Saccharomyces cerevisiae S288C: one gene and its partner. The protein of the gene in region 1 purifies or fractionates together with the protein of each later gene. This does not show direct contact. Each region holds a gene or a part of one and is shown on either strand. Other genes may lie near its edges.

What was found.
Region 2: the proteins of BUD5 (region 1) and AXL1 purify together in Saccharomyces cerevisiae (affinity purification with western blotting; 3 studies listed by BioGRID). This does not show direct contact.

What each region holds. Positions count from the first base shown.
Region 1 is NC_001135.5:192,981-201,491, forward strand, and holds BUD5 (Ras family guanine nucleotide exchange factor BUD5), read right to left. Parts: upstream 6,570-8,511; coding exon 4,641-6,569; downstream 1-4,640. Other genes in the region: exosome non-catalytic core subunit RRP43, read right to left, coding at 1-38; RBK1 (putative ribokinase), read left to right, coding at 317-1,318; PHO87 (SPX domain-containing inorganic phosphate transporter), read right to left, coding at 1,434-4,205; MATALPHA2 (homeodomain mating type protein alpha2), read right to left, coding at 6,566-7,198; MATALPHA1 (transcriptional co-activator mating type protein alpha), read left to right, coding at 7,462-7,989; YCR041W (uncharacterized protein), read left to right, coding at 7,931-8,263; transcription initiation factor TFIID subunit TAF2, read right to left, coding at 8,194-8,511. UniProt on the Saccharomyces cerevisiae protein: GDP-GTP exchange factor (GEF) for the small GTPase BUD1/RSR1. Regulates the activity of BUD1 together with BUD2 which is a GTPase-activating protein (GAP) of BUD1. Required to produce both the axial and bipolar patterns of bud site selection.
Region 2 is NC_001148.4:780,359-790,195, forward strand, and holds AXL1 (Axl1p), read left to right. Parts: upstream 1-1,686; coding exon 1,687-5,313; downstream 5,314-9,837. Other genes in the region: high-affinity Cu transporter CTR1, read left to right, coding at 5,850-7,070; YLH47 (Ylh47p), read left to right, coding at 7,603-8,967; YPR127W (pyridoxine 4-dehydrogenase), read left to right, coding at 9,725-9,837. UniProt on the Saccharomyces cerevisiae protein: Probable protease. Involved in axial budding.

The DNA of each region.
Region 1 (8,511 bases):
TGTATCTCAATAGTTTCTAACGTGGTACTTTCAGCCATTTCCAATATTAGATGCCTGTGAAACTACTGTCAAACTTATTTGTGTAACAATACTCATCGTCTAATTTGTCCATTATTGTTATATACTCTGTCATAAAAAAAGAAAGAAAAATCTTATACTTTCGTCGACTGTGATTTGAAAATCTCTCCAGATCAAACGGGAATAAAAGGGTTTATATCCGAAGGTGGCCAGAACAATCATGAAGCAAATAGGATAAAAATAGCCAATAAGATGTTTGTTGTCTTTCATCCCAAAGTTCCAACAGCATATTTCAAAGATGGGTATTACAGTAATAGGTTCTCTAAACTATGATTTGGACACATTTACGGATAGATTACCTAACGCTGGAGAAACTTTCAGGGCTAACCACTTCGAAACACATGCTGGTGGTAAGGGATTGAACCAAGCTGCGGCCATTGGTAAATTAAAAAACCCCAGCAGCAGATATAGTGTTCGAATGATTGGTAATGTTGGAAATGATACATTTGGTAAACAATTGAAGGACACTTTATCCGATTGCGGAGTCGATATCACTCACGTCGGTACTTACGAAGGCATTAATACGGGTACCGCTACCATACTAATTGAAGAGAAAGCTGGTGGCCAAAATAGGATATTGATTGTAGAAGGTGCTAACAGCAAGACTATTTATGACCCGAAACAGTTGTGTGAAATTTTTCCAGAGGGCAAGGAGGAAGAAGAGTATGTTGTTTTTCAACACGAAATTCCTGATCCTCTTTCCATTATTAAATGGATACATGCGAACAGGCCGAATTTTCAGATCGTATATAACCCCTCACCTTTCAAGGCCATGCCTAAGAAAGATTGGGAGTTGGTAGACCTTTTGGTCGTTAATGAAATTGAGGGTCTTCAAATCGTGGAAAGTGTATTTGATAATGAACTTGTTGAAGAAATAAGGGAGAAGATAAAGGACGACTTTTTAGGAGAATATCGTAAAATTTGTGAGCTTTTGTATGAAAAACTCATGAATCGAAAGAAAAGAGGAATTGTGGTTATGACTTTGGGTTCGAGAGGGGTGCTTTTCTGTTCGCACGAAAGCCCTGAAGTACAATTCCTTCCGGCTATTCAAAATGTTTCGGTTGTTGATACTACAGGAGCTGGAGATACTTTCCTGGGCGGTTTGGTTACTCAATTGTATCAAGGAGAGACCTTGTCTACGGCTATAAAGTTCTCTACATTAGCTAGTTCATTGACCATTCAAAGAAAAGGTGCTGCTGAAAGCATGCCACTGTATAAAGATGTTCAGAAAGATGCATAAAATCTACTGCAATTTTTTACTTTTAGTTTGTTAAATTTTAGTTTTCGTCATATATATAAAGTTTAAAAAGGTACAAAGAATGCAGTAATAAGAAATGTAATTACATGAGGGCAGTTTAAGTGCTACCTTTTAAGACGGAAGAACTAATACCATAACCGAGAGTAATTACGCAGACAAACGCTAACAACGAAGCAGGAACACCTCTGGAGATAAAAGCGCCTACAGTTAGCCATCTATTACCCTTTTTATCGGTCATAGAAATAGCAGTAACGTTTGGAAATCCAGATGAAGCCAACCCCATACCGCATGAGGCTAACAAGGCGCAACCGAACACAAGAATTGGAGCTGCCTTTGGATCGGATAATTTGTCACCAACTTCTTGCACCAAGGGAATAATGATGATTGCTGACACAGTATGTGAGACAAAAGTGCCCACAACTAACATTAAAATACCGAAAATACATAAGATAGCAAAAACACCATCGTTCTGAATTTTCTTTTGTAATGCTCTTGCAATAGTTACCAACAAGCCTGAAGATGAAACTGCCTTACCAAGGGCTATACCACCCATAGCAAGAACAACAATTGACCAAGGGAATGTGTTGAAATCCTTTGTTGATAGTAGACCTGTACCAAAAAACAGGACTATCGGTATTACTGCAATTTCACCGGACGATCCAAAAGCACTTTCTATTTGTGACTCTACACACCATAGAAGAATAGTAGCAATAGTTACAATGATGATAAAATATTGCTTTATAGTAAATCTGGTCCTTATTGGTTTAAATTTTTCCAGTTTAGTTTTGCCTATTTTAAAGGTGAGTATCATCAAGGCCCAGGAGCACAGCATCGATAGAATACCTGTAGGCAGAGCGACAGCAAAAAATTGCCCCCAGCCGATTCCATAAGGTTTTAAGTACTGCATGGAGATGATATTCTGTGGCGAAGAAATAGGTGAAGCCATACCACCAATATCTGCCGAAAGTGCAACACCCATGACTAATGCCTTAGCAAACGGTGAAGTGTAGTCCAGCGGATCTAGTAAGGGTGTTAATAGAGAATATGTCAATACTGGGGAGGCAACGTTGGAAATCCACATCGAAAGAAAGAATACAACACTCATTGCCATTAAAAGGACATTTCTTGGCTTGGTACCTGCAAGGGCCAATAACCACGATGCCAAAACTTTCGCAACGTTATATTGCGACAAGGCTTCACCCAATGTGAAACCTGCTAATAAAATCATAATTGTTGACGACCACATTGTACCTAAGATTTCTGTAGAGGCAGCTGCTGCTCCCATTACCTTACCGTCATCGTCTTTTAGTACCCTAAAAAGGACAGTTAGAAGGGGAACCAATAAACCTGTGATGTGTAATGGAATGGCTTCACTAGCCCATAAGAAAGCACAGCATTCTACCAATGCCATACACCGGTGTTCGACAGGGTCATTGAAAGTTTTAACACCCAACAAAACACCTGTGACAATGATAATGAAGCCTATTTTCATTGCTCTTTTCCCAAAAAATAGCTTAGGAACTGCCAAATTTTCAATTTTAGTAAACTTCAAATTAATTGGCTTAGGCAATGGATACTTGAAATATTCAATTTGAAGCTTTTCTTGCATAAGTTTCTCAGCTTCATCTTCAATAGTTATTATATCGTTATTTTGCGAAGAGAGGCCCAACATGTCTTTCCATGTGTTGCTTCTTTCCCAAACAATGTGGTCGTGCAGGTACGACTTTAACTCTTGCTTGCATGAATCTACGTTCCCAGGCTGACCCATGAGAACAGCATAAAATTCAATAAGTTGTGCAATTTTACTGTTTAAACTGCTTAAAGTTTCATGCTGGAAGATGTAGGTGTCTTTGAAAAATTCTTCACTTTCTATTAATTCTTGCCTAGTGTTCATGTGCAATACTTTATCAGACTTCTTAGTAATTTTACTGAAACCCATTCTGTTCAATTCGATAAAAGATTTCAACTGGCAAAGGTCTATGTAAAGATTTATTATTGTCTGTTTTAATAATGACTTTTTCTGAGATTTAATGTTAAATTGCGAATAATTCAAGAGGGCGGTATTGTCGGTAGTGTCAGCAAACACGTCAACGTCATCATCTTCATCCATTTCTTCTTCGCTGTAATCAAACCTATTTCTCAATTCACTGTCGATGTTTGAAGAGTGTATTTCAAATGGGTTATTAGATGAATGTGTCTCTGATGTACCAGAAATAATTTCTCTTAAAGGAGGCAATGCTTGAATTTCAGGATTGAAAGTTTCATTCAATCTTGTTACAATGCCTTCCTTCTCCAAATCATTAATCAAGTGGTCAAATCTTTCATAGAACTTAGCTTCCATTCTTTTGTAGAAATCATCTACTTTCAATTTCTCGTCGCTCAGGTTAGTTACGAATGTATCATAAGAACTGAAGAGCGTCTTTCCCTCGCTACTCACAGATGAGCTGCGTGATTCAAAGAATTTCTTACGTATAAAATTCTTATTGAAAGAGGTGGTTTTCCCTTGAGGAGATAACTCGTCTAACTCAATTGTTTCCTCGTTAATATTGTTCCCATCTATGGCCTTTTCGTCGGAGTCTCCCCTTTTGCTTCCTGAAGGTGTTTTAGAACCAAAGAGCTTACGCTTGAGTTTATGTGTAAATCTTCTTTTCGATGAAGATGGTTCTCCTGCAGCTATGTTGCTTTCTATATCAGCGATTGGACCTGGAGTCTGAGAGTCAGCGTCATCGTTTAAGTCACCGGTTGGCGTTTCTTGTTTCAATTCATCTGTCTGTAATGTGTAGATCAAATTTTTCAATTCGTTATAATCTAGGTAATGATTCTGCCATTCAGGGACAGCGTTGTATTTGAGAAAGTGTGAGAATCTCATTTCGAGGCACAATAATAGCCGCCTTTACCGTAGTTTTGCTGCACCTTTATCTGAGAGCTGACTGCTTTTTTGGTGTGAAACACTGTTTTCTGGTAATAATTTTTCAATGCATCGGATTACTTTTCCCACGTGCGAAATCATCAATTAATTAGATTGAAAAAAGGGTAAGGGAAAATAAGAAAGAGGCGGTAGCCTAAAGATACGGTAATTGAAACGTTTCCTATGCACAATCTTAAACCTTTTTAGGTAATTGATTAAGTTGACTGTAATATCTGTAAAAGATTACATCTAATTTACGTCTGGTTTCTTATCAAAAAATATTATCTACTGTAGTTATGCAAGTATTCTTAATTTTCAGTACTAAACATGAATATTAATTATTTGTGAGCGTACAAGAAGCAAAAGGAAGTCATCTTTCTTTGAACAGTTCTGTTTTTAGGTAAGCCTTGGAACCTTAGCTATACTGACTTGATACGCCCTGTCTTTGTTGTCGTTATATAAAGTGTGCACCTTTATCATAGCCCCTAATAAGCTTCTTGCAGTAGTATTTGAACAGTGTATATCTTCATATTGCTTTTGTTGTAAATATTGCGCAAAAGCGACTATCTTTGTGATTTGGTTGAACTTTTGCATATTCACGTTATTACCATCTTTAGTGAATGTATCGTTTCCGTCTCTTATGAAGGTAATGTCCCTGATAAGCAGTGATGTAAAAGGTACACAAGGAAGCTGACTGTGGAAAATATGTTTAATTGTTCTTCTATAAACGTTGTAGTTGTTGTTTGGATGTACGACGACTTTTAGGCGCTGAAAAAGGTGGTCTGATTTAACATCTATCGGGAGAGATAGTCTTTCTATTGAATGATTTTGCAATGATGTAATGATTGAAGCAAGTGAGTTTAAGTTTCGTAAGTATAGACAAGACAGTGCAACTTGTAACCAGTAGGAAATGGTGTGCGTTTGCTGCAAAGTTGTCTCAAGAACGTAGGACGATAACTGGTTGGAAAGCGTAAACACGGAGTCAATTGTTGTATCGTTGTGTTTGAAATGTCTTGTGAATTCTATTGTTTCAATATCCAAGTAAAGAGAAGATTCTAAGAGAGTCAATGTCTTTGCAAGTGACCATGGAGATACGTTTAGAGCGAAGGCTTCGACTTCTAGAAGTTCACCCTGTTTCCATTGGAAAAGTAAATCACTGAGGTCAGTTGCACCGCACAATTCATCATTTGCGTTCGTTTTGTCTATCTCGTATTGGAGAAATAAGTTTTCGTAGTCCAGGGGCGGTTTATTTTCTTCGATTTCCTTATCAGTTAGACCAATGTAATGAATCTTCAATTGCCTCGTTCTTTTTTTGTTTATAAACAGCTGAACTATGTCTGCAAACAGTTCTTGGTATTCATAATATTCAGCCAAGTGACTGTACCAAAAATTGAGGATATCTTTTAATGTTGTCTCACTATCTTGCCAATAAGACTCTACCCAGATTTGTATTAGACGAGGGACGGAGTGATTTTTGTGTTTGTTTTTATTAATTGTGGGATAGGATAGTAGCAACTCTTGGAGGAGAGCATTGTCAGTTGTCCAGTCTCTGAAGTTAAGTAGTAAGTTTGCGGAGTCAAAGGGGGATGGCTTTTGCCATTTGTGAGAGTTGTGCGGCAGCATCTTATTCAAATAGAGCTGTATTCTGAAGACCTCTTGTAGAACATCATCCATACTAAAAAGTAAATCGTCCTGTCCCATTACGAGCTGTATTAGTGCTGTGACCCTCTGTATATTTACGTTGCCATGAAGAAGGTAATGGGCGATATTTTGATACAATTCCTGAGTTGCATGTTGGATTGAGTTTACGAAGGGTCGCCAGACGGCCAGAAACCTCCAGGCGGAGTTAACAACTAGTAATACGGCATCCATGTTTGCATCAGCGCCGAGCCTATACCAGTCACTGAGTAGACGTTTTCTTGCTCTTTTTATGTCCTGACTTCTTTTGACGAGGGGGCATTCTCTAGAGACACAGGCAGTTGCTTCCAGCAACTGCCGTACGGCCGTTCTCATGCTGTCGAGGATTTTTTTTGGGACGATATTGTCATTATAGGGCAGTGTGTGACTTATGAATTGTTGTAGAAGGACGTCTGTGATGTTGGAGATATGTATTTTGTTAACTCTTCTTGAGACGATTTGGCCCTGGATAGCGAAGCGTGCGGTTACAAATAGGTCGTCTTGTTCAAGAAGGTAGGCGAGGACATTATCTATCAGTACAAACATCTTAGTAGTGTCTGAGGAGAGGGTTGATTGTTTATGTATTTTTGCGAAATATATATATATATATTCTACACAGATATATACATATTTGTTTTTCGGGCTCATTCTTTCTTCTTTGCCAGAGGCTCACCGCTCAAGAGGTCCGCTAATTCTGGAGCGATTGTTATTGTTTTTTCTTTTCTTCTTCTATTCGAAACCCAGTTTTTGATTTGAATGCGAGATAAACTGGTATTCTTCATTAGATTCTCTAGGCCCTTGGTATCTAGATATGGGTTCTCGATGTTCTTTGCAAACCAACTTTCTAGTATTCGGACATTTTCTTTTGTAAACCGGTGTCCTCTGTAAGGTTTAGTACTTTTGTTTATCATATCTTGAGTTACCACATTAAATACCAACCCATCCGCCGATTTATTTTTCTGTGTAAGTTGATAATTACTTCTATCGTTTTCTATGCTGCGCATTTCTTTGAGTAATACAGTAATGGTAGTAGTGAGTTGAGATGTTGTTTGCAACAACTTCTTCTCCTCATCACTAATCTTACGGTTTTTGTTGGCCCTAGATAAGAATCCTAATATATCCCTTAATTCAACTTCTTCTTCTGTTGTTACACTCTCTGGTAACTTAGGTAAATTACAGCAAATAGAAAAGAGCTTTTTATTTATGTCTAGTATGCTGGATTTAAACTCATCTGTGATTTGTGGATTTAAAAGGTCTTTAATGGGTATTTTATTCATTTTTTCTTGCTTATCTTCCTTTTTTTCTTGCCCACTTCTAAGCTGATTTCAATCTCTCCTTTATATATATTTTTAAGTTCCAACATTTTATGTTTCAAAACATTAATGATGTCTGGGTTTTGTTTGGGATGCAATTTATTGCTTCCCAATGTAGAAAAGTACATCATATGAAACAACTTAAACTCTTAACTACTTCTTTTAACCTTCACTTTTTATGAAATGTATCAACCATATATAATAACTTAATAGACGACATTCACAATATGTTTACTTCGAAGCCTGCTTTCAAAATTAAGAACAAAGCATCCAAATCATACAGAAACACAGCGGTTTCAAAAAAGCTGAAAGAAAAACGTCTAGCTGAGCATGTGAGGCCAAGCTGCTTCAATATTATTCGACCACTCAAGAAAGATATCCAGATTCCTGTTCCTTCCTCTCGATTTTTAAATAAAATCCAAATTCACAGGATAGCGTCTGGAAGTCAAAATACTCAGTTTCGACAGTTCAATAAGACATCTATAAAATCTTCAAAGAAATATTTAAACTCATTTATGGCTTTTAGAGCATATTACTCACAGTTTGGCTCCGGTGTAAAACAAAATGTCTTGTCTTCTCTGCTCGCTGAAGAATGGCACGCGGACAAAATGCAGCACGGAATATGGGACTACTTCGCGCAACAGTATAATTTTATAAACCCTGGTTTTGGTTTTGTAGAGTGGTTGACGAATAATTATGCTGAAGTACGTGGTGACGGATATTGGGAAGATGTGTTTGTACATTTGGCCTTATAGAGTGTGGTCGTGGCGGAGGTTGTTTATCTTTCGAGTACTGAATGTTGTCAGTATAGCTATCCTATTTGAAACTCCCCATCGTCTTGCTCTTGTTCCCAATGTTTGTTTATACACTCATATGGCTATACCCTTATCTACTTGCCTCTTTTGTTTATGTCTATGTATTTGTATAAAATATGATATTACTCAGACTCAAGCAAACAATCAATTCTTAGCATCATTCTTTGTTCTTATCTTAACCATAAACGATCTTGATGTGACTTTTGTAATTTGAACGAATTGGCTATACGGGACGGATGACAAATGCACCATTACTCTAGGTTGTTGTTGGATCTTAACAAACCGTAAAGGTAAACTGCCCATGCGGTTCACATGACTTTTGACTTTCCTTTGTTTGCTAGTTACCTTCGGCTTCACAATTTGTTTTTCCACTTTTCTAACAGGTTTATCACCTTTCAAACTTATCTTTATCTTATTCGCCTTCTTGGGTGCCTCCACAGTAGAGGTTACTTCCTTTTTAAT
Region 2 (9,837 bases), on another chromosome or scaffold:
AAACGCAAAAGATTAGCGATACGAAAAAAGGATTTCTCGCTATTATATCAATTTATAAAGAGATCCTTTGGAAATATAAATTATGTTCATTTCATTTTTTCAACTTCTAGAAGGATGACTAACTATTGTTTCCATTTGCTAGCATGGTAAATTAATACATTTTTGAATTTGCTGCTAGGGTACAATACCATGCAATGTTTATAATATAAATCAAAGTGACAGAGATTCCTAAAAGCTAAAACAAATCCATTGATAATATAATAGTAGGTTGGTCAATTCACCGCAGATTCAATGTAAGTATTGATACTCCATAAATGTTAACTTCAGGTTGATATTCGTTACAAAAATCTTAGTTTGCTTTTCATTACTATCTGAACGGAATGCTCAACATTTTTCTTATTCTACAATTGTACAATGTCACGTAAACAGTTTGATTTGTGTATTTACAGTGGAAACATTTTACTTGTTGGCAATAGTACATGCGCAGATAATCAAAAACCATTGTTTCCGACATTATTTCTGACAATTGCTTGAATTTGCTGAACACTTTTCGAGGTACATTCTGATAAAGAGTGCATTATTAGTTATTTAGAGTATATTAAGACATCTTCTCGAAGATATATAAATTCGTAAAGGAAACAAAAATTTCGGGATAACAAAAAAGTTTCTTCTTTTTACGTATTAAATGGTCTATTCATCGATCCTATTTCACTATCAATCCTATTATATTATCAACTTTTGCATTTCTGCTTCCACCAAAGTCGACGGCTGTTTCTCATCGTTTATGTAATATCATAACGCATGTATGACATTATATCAGTGGCATGAGCGCTAGTCCATGAAATAGGAGTTTAACTCCAACATACGGAACATTCGCATTATCGCACACGTAAGACTCGATATATTAAGGAAGGAATTTCCGAGTTGGATTAATAAAGGAAAAATAAAATATAGTGTTGGAAATATAGTTGCCTCAGAATAATATCAATATAATATTAAAACGTATATAGTTAGATACCCGGTATTATTCGAGTACGCATTAATTCAGCAGTATGACTTTCTGTGCCTGCTTATATATTGTAACCGTATGTTGTTCTACCTTAAAAATTTGCTAAATTGAAGGAATTGACTATCGTCACTGAAGAGTATTCGTATTATGGTATTATGATACATTGTCTAAAAAAAGGATACCATTTTTCTTCAATAGAACAAGAAGAGAATCTAAGGACACCATTTCGAGAAATAGTTTACACAGTATATCCAATAACTCCAATAAACTACTTTCCTATACAAATTTCCGATGGTTGGATTAATAGTAAAACTTCTATACTTCTTTCATCCATCAAGAAATTAAGGTAAACATCTGGTAAGCACTATCCAACTTTTTTCTGTTACACATATGGTTTTTCTGCAATCATTTCTTCCCACTTTGCATGAGTAAGTGTCCCATTTTGTCTCAAGCCGTTAATCTTGAAACCGCAGGCGGAGTTACTTGATGCGGTATTTTACATGCCTTTTTTCACTGCAAGAAAAAAATGAAACACTTATTTACACGATTTTCAGGATAGTTTACGCTGGTGAGTATGCAGAACAGTTAACACCTTTGTTTTATCCTTTTGTGTCTTGATTATATAATATAAATGTGCCTGGCGTTAAAAAATAGCAACTGAATAAGTTTTTTTACTGATGTCCTTGAGAGAAGTAACTAATTATGAAGTCTCGTTTTACATCCCGTTGTCTTACAGCAACAGGACTCATAAAGTTTGTAAACTGCCAAACGGAATTTTAGCATTAATAATATCGGATCCAACAGATACTTCAAGCTCATGCTCACTGACTGTTTGCACAGGTTCCCATAACGATCCAAAGGATATTGCCGGTTTGGCGCACCTTTGTGAGCACATGATTCTTTCTGCCGGTTCCAAAAAATACCCTGATCCTGGTTTATTCCACACACTAATCGCAAAAAACAACGGCTCTCAAAATGCCTTTACCACAGGGGAGCAAACGACTTTTTATTTTGAATTGCCCAATACTCAAAATAACGGCGAATTTACATTTGAATCTATCTTAGATGTGTTTGCCTCATTCTTCAAAGAACCGCTCTTCAACCCTTTACTGATAAGCAAGGAGATATATGCAATACAAAGTGAGCATGAGGGAAACATATCATCAACCACAAAAATATTCTACCACGCAGCAAGAATATTGGCCAATCCCGACCATCCTTTCAGTCGCTTTTCCACTGGGAACATACACTCGTTATCTAGCATTCCACAACTGAAAAAAATAAAACTAAAGAGCTCATTAAACACTTACTTCGAAAATAATTTTTTTGGGGAGAATATAACCTTGTGCATAAGGGGACCGCAGTCTGTTAATATTCTTACGAAACTAGCTCTATCAAAATTTGGCGATATAAAACCCAAAAGCGCTGTAAAGGAAAGGAGTATATCGATTAGGACGAGGTCATTTCGAAGATCGAAGTCTTTAAAAAAACGCCAAGATTCTTCCAAAAACGACTACAGTGACTTGAAAACCTTTAAAATACTGAACACAACGTGGGAAAAAAAATACAAAAATACGATGTGTTTTCAACAATTTCCTGAATGCAATTCGATATTTATCAATTCAAATAAGGTACCTATAATGAGACTTCTCTTTCCTGTTAGCGATAAAAACACTCGGTTTACAAAGGATGACATTAAAATATACAGTCATCTTTGGTGTGAACTTTTCGGCGATGAGTCTCCAGGATCTTTGAGCTATTACTTAGCTTCAAAAGGCTGGCTCACAGGCTGTTTTGCCTTTACCTCAGAATTCGCTATTGGTGACATAGGATTAATTTTGGAATTAGAACTGACAAACAGTGGCTGGGAAAATATTAAGAGAATTACGACAATAGTACTTAATAGACTCTTGCCTTCCTTTTACGTAATGAACATCGATTACTTAATCACTTTTTTGAAAGAACAGAATTTGATCGACCTCGTTAGCTTTCTGTACCAAAGTTCAGAGGATCTTCCAATGGAAGAGTGCTCAAAATTAAGCGGTATTCTTCAGGACGATTTAGAATGTTTAACCCCCCCTAATATATTCAAAGGATTTAAATCTCTTATAGAAATAGATGATCCCAACATCGAAAAATATGAAAACACAAAGGCCAATATACAATGGTGGACAGGGCAAGCTATTAAGTTCCAAAATTTTTTAAAATCTTTCATGAATCATGACAACATGCGCCTTTTACTCTTAGGGAATATAAAATCTGGTAATATATTTGATAAAATGAAAAATAAAAGTGATATATGCACCGATTTTTTCTATGAATTTGAGTATTATACGGCAAACGTTCATCTAGCAAGTGATAATAAATTTCATTCAAACAGCTCGTATGAATTTAATTTTCCCACAGGTAATCTTTTTTTACCAGATTGCGTCAGCGATCCTTTAAAACTACAACAGCTCTTCTTAGAATGCTCGTTAAAATCGAAATTTGCTACGCTTAGACCTCAAATTTATAGTGAGCCCACTAGGACAAAGCCTCAATTAGTCAGTGAGAACCAGAATTATGAGATGTGGATCTTAAAAGAAGACCCAAATTTTGCCTCAGACAATAAATCCGTCGTATCATTTGAAGTTTTGGGGTTAGGCATCAAACCTAGTCCGGAGGCAACAATCCACCTGGAAGTACTAGCACAGGCATTATTTATCATCACCTCTTCATTCCTTTATCCCGCTCTGAGAATTGGTTACACATATGAGATTGCCTCATCTAGTAAGGGCAACGTAACACTGCGATTTACTATTTCTGGATTCCCTGAGGGTGTTTTCACAATAGTAAAGACGTTCGTGGATACGCTAAAACTTATTGCAACAGATCCAACGTTTCTTTCTAAAGATACCTTGAGAAAGGCAAGGATTTTAGTTAGAAATAAATACAAGAACGCGTCATCGGACAACTGCGTGAAGCTAGCTAGCGTTGGATTGCTGATTGTTTTAGAGAAATATATATGGACTTTAGAGGATAGAATTAATGCATTAGAGCTTACCGAGTTGGAATCCTTCGAAAAATTTTGTTTTTTATTCTGGAGGAATCCTAAACATTTGGTCTTGTTCATGCAGGGAAGCCTTGAATATGCTGACGCAATCAACCGTTACTTAAATAACAATTTTACGCAGCACCTAAAAATCAGCAATGAAGGGAGCAAACCGACCATACGTCTCTACCCTCCTCCCAGTACAAAAGATCTAGATCAAGGCACAAATGCCTTTATATCATATAATGGTCACCAGGATGATCCCAACAATAGTATTGTGTATTTTATTCAGACTGCACAAAGAGATGACATCAAAAATCTGACACTAACCTTTCTTACCGAATATCTATTTTCACTAACGCTAGTGCCTGATCTAAGAAATAAAAAGCAAATTGGGTACATTGTTTTGGGAGGACTCAGGGTTTTAACAGACACTGTTGGGATTCATATAACCGTAATGTCTGGCAGCTCGGGGCACAATCTGGAAACTAGGATCAATGAGTACTTATCTTACTTGCAGCTGCAGGTGCTAAATAGATTCACCGAGTTTGATTTTCGAAGGATACTTCTAGAGCCGTTCTTAAATCTTTTAAAACAGAACAGTACGAAACAGTTTGAAGGGTCGGCTGGTCCTGTAGACCTATTAAATGAGATAGTGGCAAATGTGCAAAATGGTGATAATTACACTCTCAACAATAAACAAATGAGACAACATAGGAAGGTAAGAAATAAAATTGCGGAAGGAAGGCTTAATTTTCAAGAAGATCATGAAATGATTGATATCTCATTTTTGCAAAAATTAACTCTAAAGAAATATTTAGCATTCTTCGAGTCCAAAATCTCTATATATTCCGCTCAAAGAAGTAAGCTATCAATAATGATCACAAGTCCAATGGCAGAGAAGGAAATTGCAAGCAGGAAAATGTTCCTTCAGCTAGAGGCCTTTCTGAAAATAAACGGATTCGCCATAAAAAATGAAGACTTGAAGAAAATTGTCGAACATTCAAAGGGAAATCCTATTTTACTTGTAAAGAACCTTTTTACTTATTTTCGTAGGAGAAATGAAGTTTTCAAGCTCGGAACCGTTGTATTGCAGGAAATATTGAAAATCATCGGAATGAATCTTAAGCAGAGATACGGCTCTATATTAGGGTTTTCTTCCCAAGATGGTGAAGGACAAGAAATAGAAAAATTTTGGAACAACGACACAAGTCCGATTGTTCCTCTTCAGGAGCTTCCTGAACCAAACTTTTTCCGCAAGGCCGCATTTTGAACCGTATTTTGCTCGTTCCAGCCTTTCCACGTTTTTGTTATCTAAGCAACTTGGCACATTTCCCTACTATACTACAAACCGATACGTAAATACTTCCCTAAATAGCATATGAATTATTCAGTAATTTTTAAGGATCGAAACTGCACCTCAACTATTCGTTACTGTGGTTATGTTCTCATGTATTGATGCAAATCATGGGATATTTGCTCAAGACGACGGTAAAATGAGCAAAAATGGCACGATCCTGAAAAGAGCACTTTTCAAGATTCGGGCTACAAAATGCAACATAAAAAATGTTGTATTGTCATCTCGAGAGGGTCTTGTATGTTTTATTCCTCTTATGATTAGTTCACATTAGTAAAACAGATACGCAGTGTGCTCTTAATAAACAACTACTCCATAGCTTTATTTGCATAACAAAACTTTTAAGCACAAACTTAAACAGGTGGAGTAATAGTTCGGCGGCGACTCAAATTACATTTGTTGGAAGAATCGAATAGAAAATAAAAAAAAGTGTATTATATTTGACATTCAAAATGGAAGGTATGAATATGGGTAGCAGCATGAATATGGACGCCATGTCTAGTGCATCCAAGACAGTAGCATCGAGTATGGCGTCGATGAGCATGGATGCGATGTCTAGTGCCAGCAAAACGATATTATCGAGCATGTCATCGATGAGCATGGAAGCGATGTCCAGTGCGAGCAAAACGTTGGCGTCGACTATGTCGTCAATGGCAAGTATGTCGATGGGAAGCAGTTCAATGTCAGGTATGTCTATGTCGATGAGCAGTACACCAACAAGCTCCGCCAGTGCACAGACAACTTCTGATTCTAGCATGTCAGGCATGTCAGGTATGTCATCGTCTGATAACAGTAGCTCTTCAGGGATGGATATGGACATGAGTATGGGAATGAACTATTATCTGACTCCCACATATAAAAACTATCCAGTTTTGTTTCACCATTTGCATGCAAACAATAGTGGTAAGGCTTTCGGTATTTTCTTATTATTTGTTGTGGCTGCTTTCGTCTACAAACTACTGCTTTTCGTTAGTTGGTGCCTTGAAGTTCACTGGTTTAAAAAATGGGACAAGCAAAATAAATATTCCACTTTACCTTCAGCAAACTCCAAAGACGAAGGAAAACATTATGACACAGAGAATAATTTTGAAATTCAAGGTTTACCTAAGCTGCCAAATTTATTAAGCGATATATTTGTTCCATCTTTAATGGATCTCTTTCATGACATTATAAGGGCGTTCTTAGTATTTACCTCTACGATGATTATTTATATGTTGATGCTTGCTACCATGTCTTTTGTTTTAACATACGTTTTTGCTGTAATTACTGGGTTAGCTTTATCGGAAGTCTTCTTCAATAGATGCAAAATAGCCATGCTAAAGAGGTGGGACATCCAAAGAGAAATTCAGAAAGCGAAGAGCTGTCCTGGCTTCGGTAACTGCCAATGTGGTAGACATCCCGAACCCAGCCCTGATCCAATTGCTGTTGCCGATACCACTTCCGGAAGTGATCAAAGTACTCGCCTGGAAAAGAACAACGAATCTAAAGTTGCGATTTCCGAAAATAATCAAAAGAAAACACCTACACAAGAAGAGGGATGTAATTGTGCCACAGACTCAGGAAAGAATCAAGCAAACATAGAGCGCGACATCCTTGAGAATTCCAAGTTGCAGGAACAGTCCGGGAATATGGATCAAAACTTACTTCCGGCCGAAAAATTCACTCATAACTAATAACTAGACAAGGTTCGTCCACCTATATCTTCTTCTTCCAATATCTCTATACATCAAAATAAGAATATCGTTCATTTCTCAGAAGCTCAAAAAAAATCTCAAAATGGATACTTCTAATGCCCTCATGAAGAGGAAAGAAAATAATAGACACAGCGACCTTCCTATAAATAACAGACTTGTATATAGTTGAATGTCTAAGTAATTTTAATTCAAAAATCCTTAACTATATTACCACCTTGCAATAATAAGAGTGAAGTGTTAAAAATGATACTTGCTTGCCTTCATCGAGTTACCGTTGTCTCCCACGTTTCTTTTTTCTCGTTGGACAGAATTGCTTCCGCGCGAACATTTTCCACTTTTATTTGAAAGAGGACATTATTCAGATCGTGTCAGTCTCATCTAATTGGCAAAGTGGCAATTTTCGAAATAACAAGATAACTGCATAAAGTAACACTTGTCGAATTGAAAGTATTTTGCCAGTGATATTTAGGTTCGAGTAAAGAAAATTTCATAAAGAAATCAACAAGACACAATGCTGAAATACAGGTCTTTGCCAATCAAGAGAGCAATCCATCATCCGGCACCAGGAATTACTCCAATTTCTCCCCGTATTATGGTAAGCAGGTTGAGAGTAATACCATCTTTTAATTTGAAGTTCAATCGTTGGAACTCTTCGGTGCCAGAAAGCTCGAAAAAGGAGTTAAAAACGACAGACGGAAACCAAGAAAGTGCGAGTAAGGTCTCTCCAGTAAAAGAGAAGGAAAAAGTACCCTTTAAGGTTAAGATGCAAAAAGCCCTTCGTCATTATTGGGATGGTTCCAAACTTTTGGGGTTGGAGATAAAAATTTCTTCCAAATTGCTCATGAAGAGTGCTGCAGGCTACCCATTGACGAGAAGAGAAAATTTACAACTGAAAAGAACTACTCAAGATATCGTTCGGTTGGTTCCATTTGCTGCTTTCCTCATTATACCCTTTGCTGAACTTCTTCTTCCATTTGCATTAAAGTTATTCCCCAATTTACTTCCTTCTACTTATGAATCAAGTAAAAAACGCGAGAATAAACTAGAAAATTTAAGAAACACAAGGAAGTTAATGTCTGAAATCATAAAGAATAACAAGTCCCATTTTAAACCTAATAATATTTCCGAGGAACAAAAAGCTTTGTTTAACAGGTTCTACACACATGTCCGTGCTACAGGAGTGCCGGAGTCTCGTCAACAGCTAATCGAAGTAGCTAGATTATTCACTGATGATACTGTATTGGATAATGTGACAAGACCTTACTTGATTGCATTAGCGAAGTATATGAATTTGCAACCATTCGGCACTGATGTGATGCTACGTTACCGTATCAGATACAAAATGCTTGAATTGAAAAAAGATGATCTATCTATATATTACGAGGATGCAGAACAACTCTCCCTCTCTGAATTGAAAACAGCATGCGCCTCCAGAGGTATTAGAAGTGTAGACGTAGAGCCTAGCGTGTTATATTCGAATCTAAGATTGTGGCTGAACATGAGGCTCAAGGATAAGATCCCATCCACGCTGTTAATCATGGCTACTGCCTATAACTACGGTAATGTGCAATCAAAGGAGTCATTGTACGACGCATTATGTGACGTTTTAATCGGTATCCCTGATGAACTATACCATGAGGTTAAAGTAAACGTCGTTAAGGAAGATGAGGCATCCGCTAAGCAAAAATTGAAACAATTGAGGGAGCAAGAAGAAATTATGAAGGAAGAAGAGCAGCAAGAAGAGAACGCCATTGTGAGCGTCAAGGATGAGTTGAGCTTGGACGACCAAGACAAGAACATAGATGCGGCTGCTCCAGACGTAAAACCGCATGACACCAAGCCTATCGGAGAAGCCGCTGCCATCAAAGAGAAGTAACCCAGTTTTCACCTGGCCCATTAAACCGCACGATACACTCTCCGCTACTCTCGCCAACATTCTTTTTATACATACTTGCACGAAACTGCTTTTTTAGCAATGAAAAGAAAATGTAGTGAACTCTACTATAGATTTTGTACATAAGATAAATAAAATACACTACTATATGAAATTTTTGTTTGTAAAGCTGGTGTTTGCACACATAGATAGTATCAACGTAGGGGATCAACACATGCACGACTACTAGAAGCCTTACCCGTAACTTCTTGCATATCTGCTTTGCCAATATTTTTTTTTAAAGTTATTTCTTAAACTACTCCTCGTGCTGTCCACATTTTTACCCGTTAGTTGTTAGACAAAAAAAAAGCGCAACTATCTCCCTTTTGCGCATCTCCCAAGTCCTTTACCAAATATATTAGAAGAATGACACCCGGCCGAGACGGATGAAGCGGCCGTCTCGGCCGCCTTAGGAAGGGATCTGCGTTTTTGTTCGTTAATGAGGTAATCAAGGGCGTACTTGGTAGAACGGTACTAAGTTAATCATTGCTGCTCTCCCTCAAAATTACTCAAAGAATAGAGTGTCTATTGAACCGTAGAATAGGCATTTATTATATAAGGGGTTGTCAATTTACCAAATTTTTTACTTCATCTCAGGACTCTCTCTTAAAATTATTTTCCTTGCCATTTTCTATGTTATGTAGAATAGAAAAACAGGTACATATTAACTAAAATATACACCAAAAAAAGTAAAAATAAAATGTCTGTCGCCGATTTGAAAAACAACATCCACAAGTTAGATACTGGCTATGGTTTAATGAGTTTGACTTGGAGAGCCGAGCCTATCCCTCAGTCGCAGGCTTTCGAGGCCAT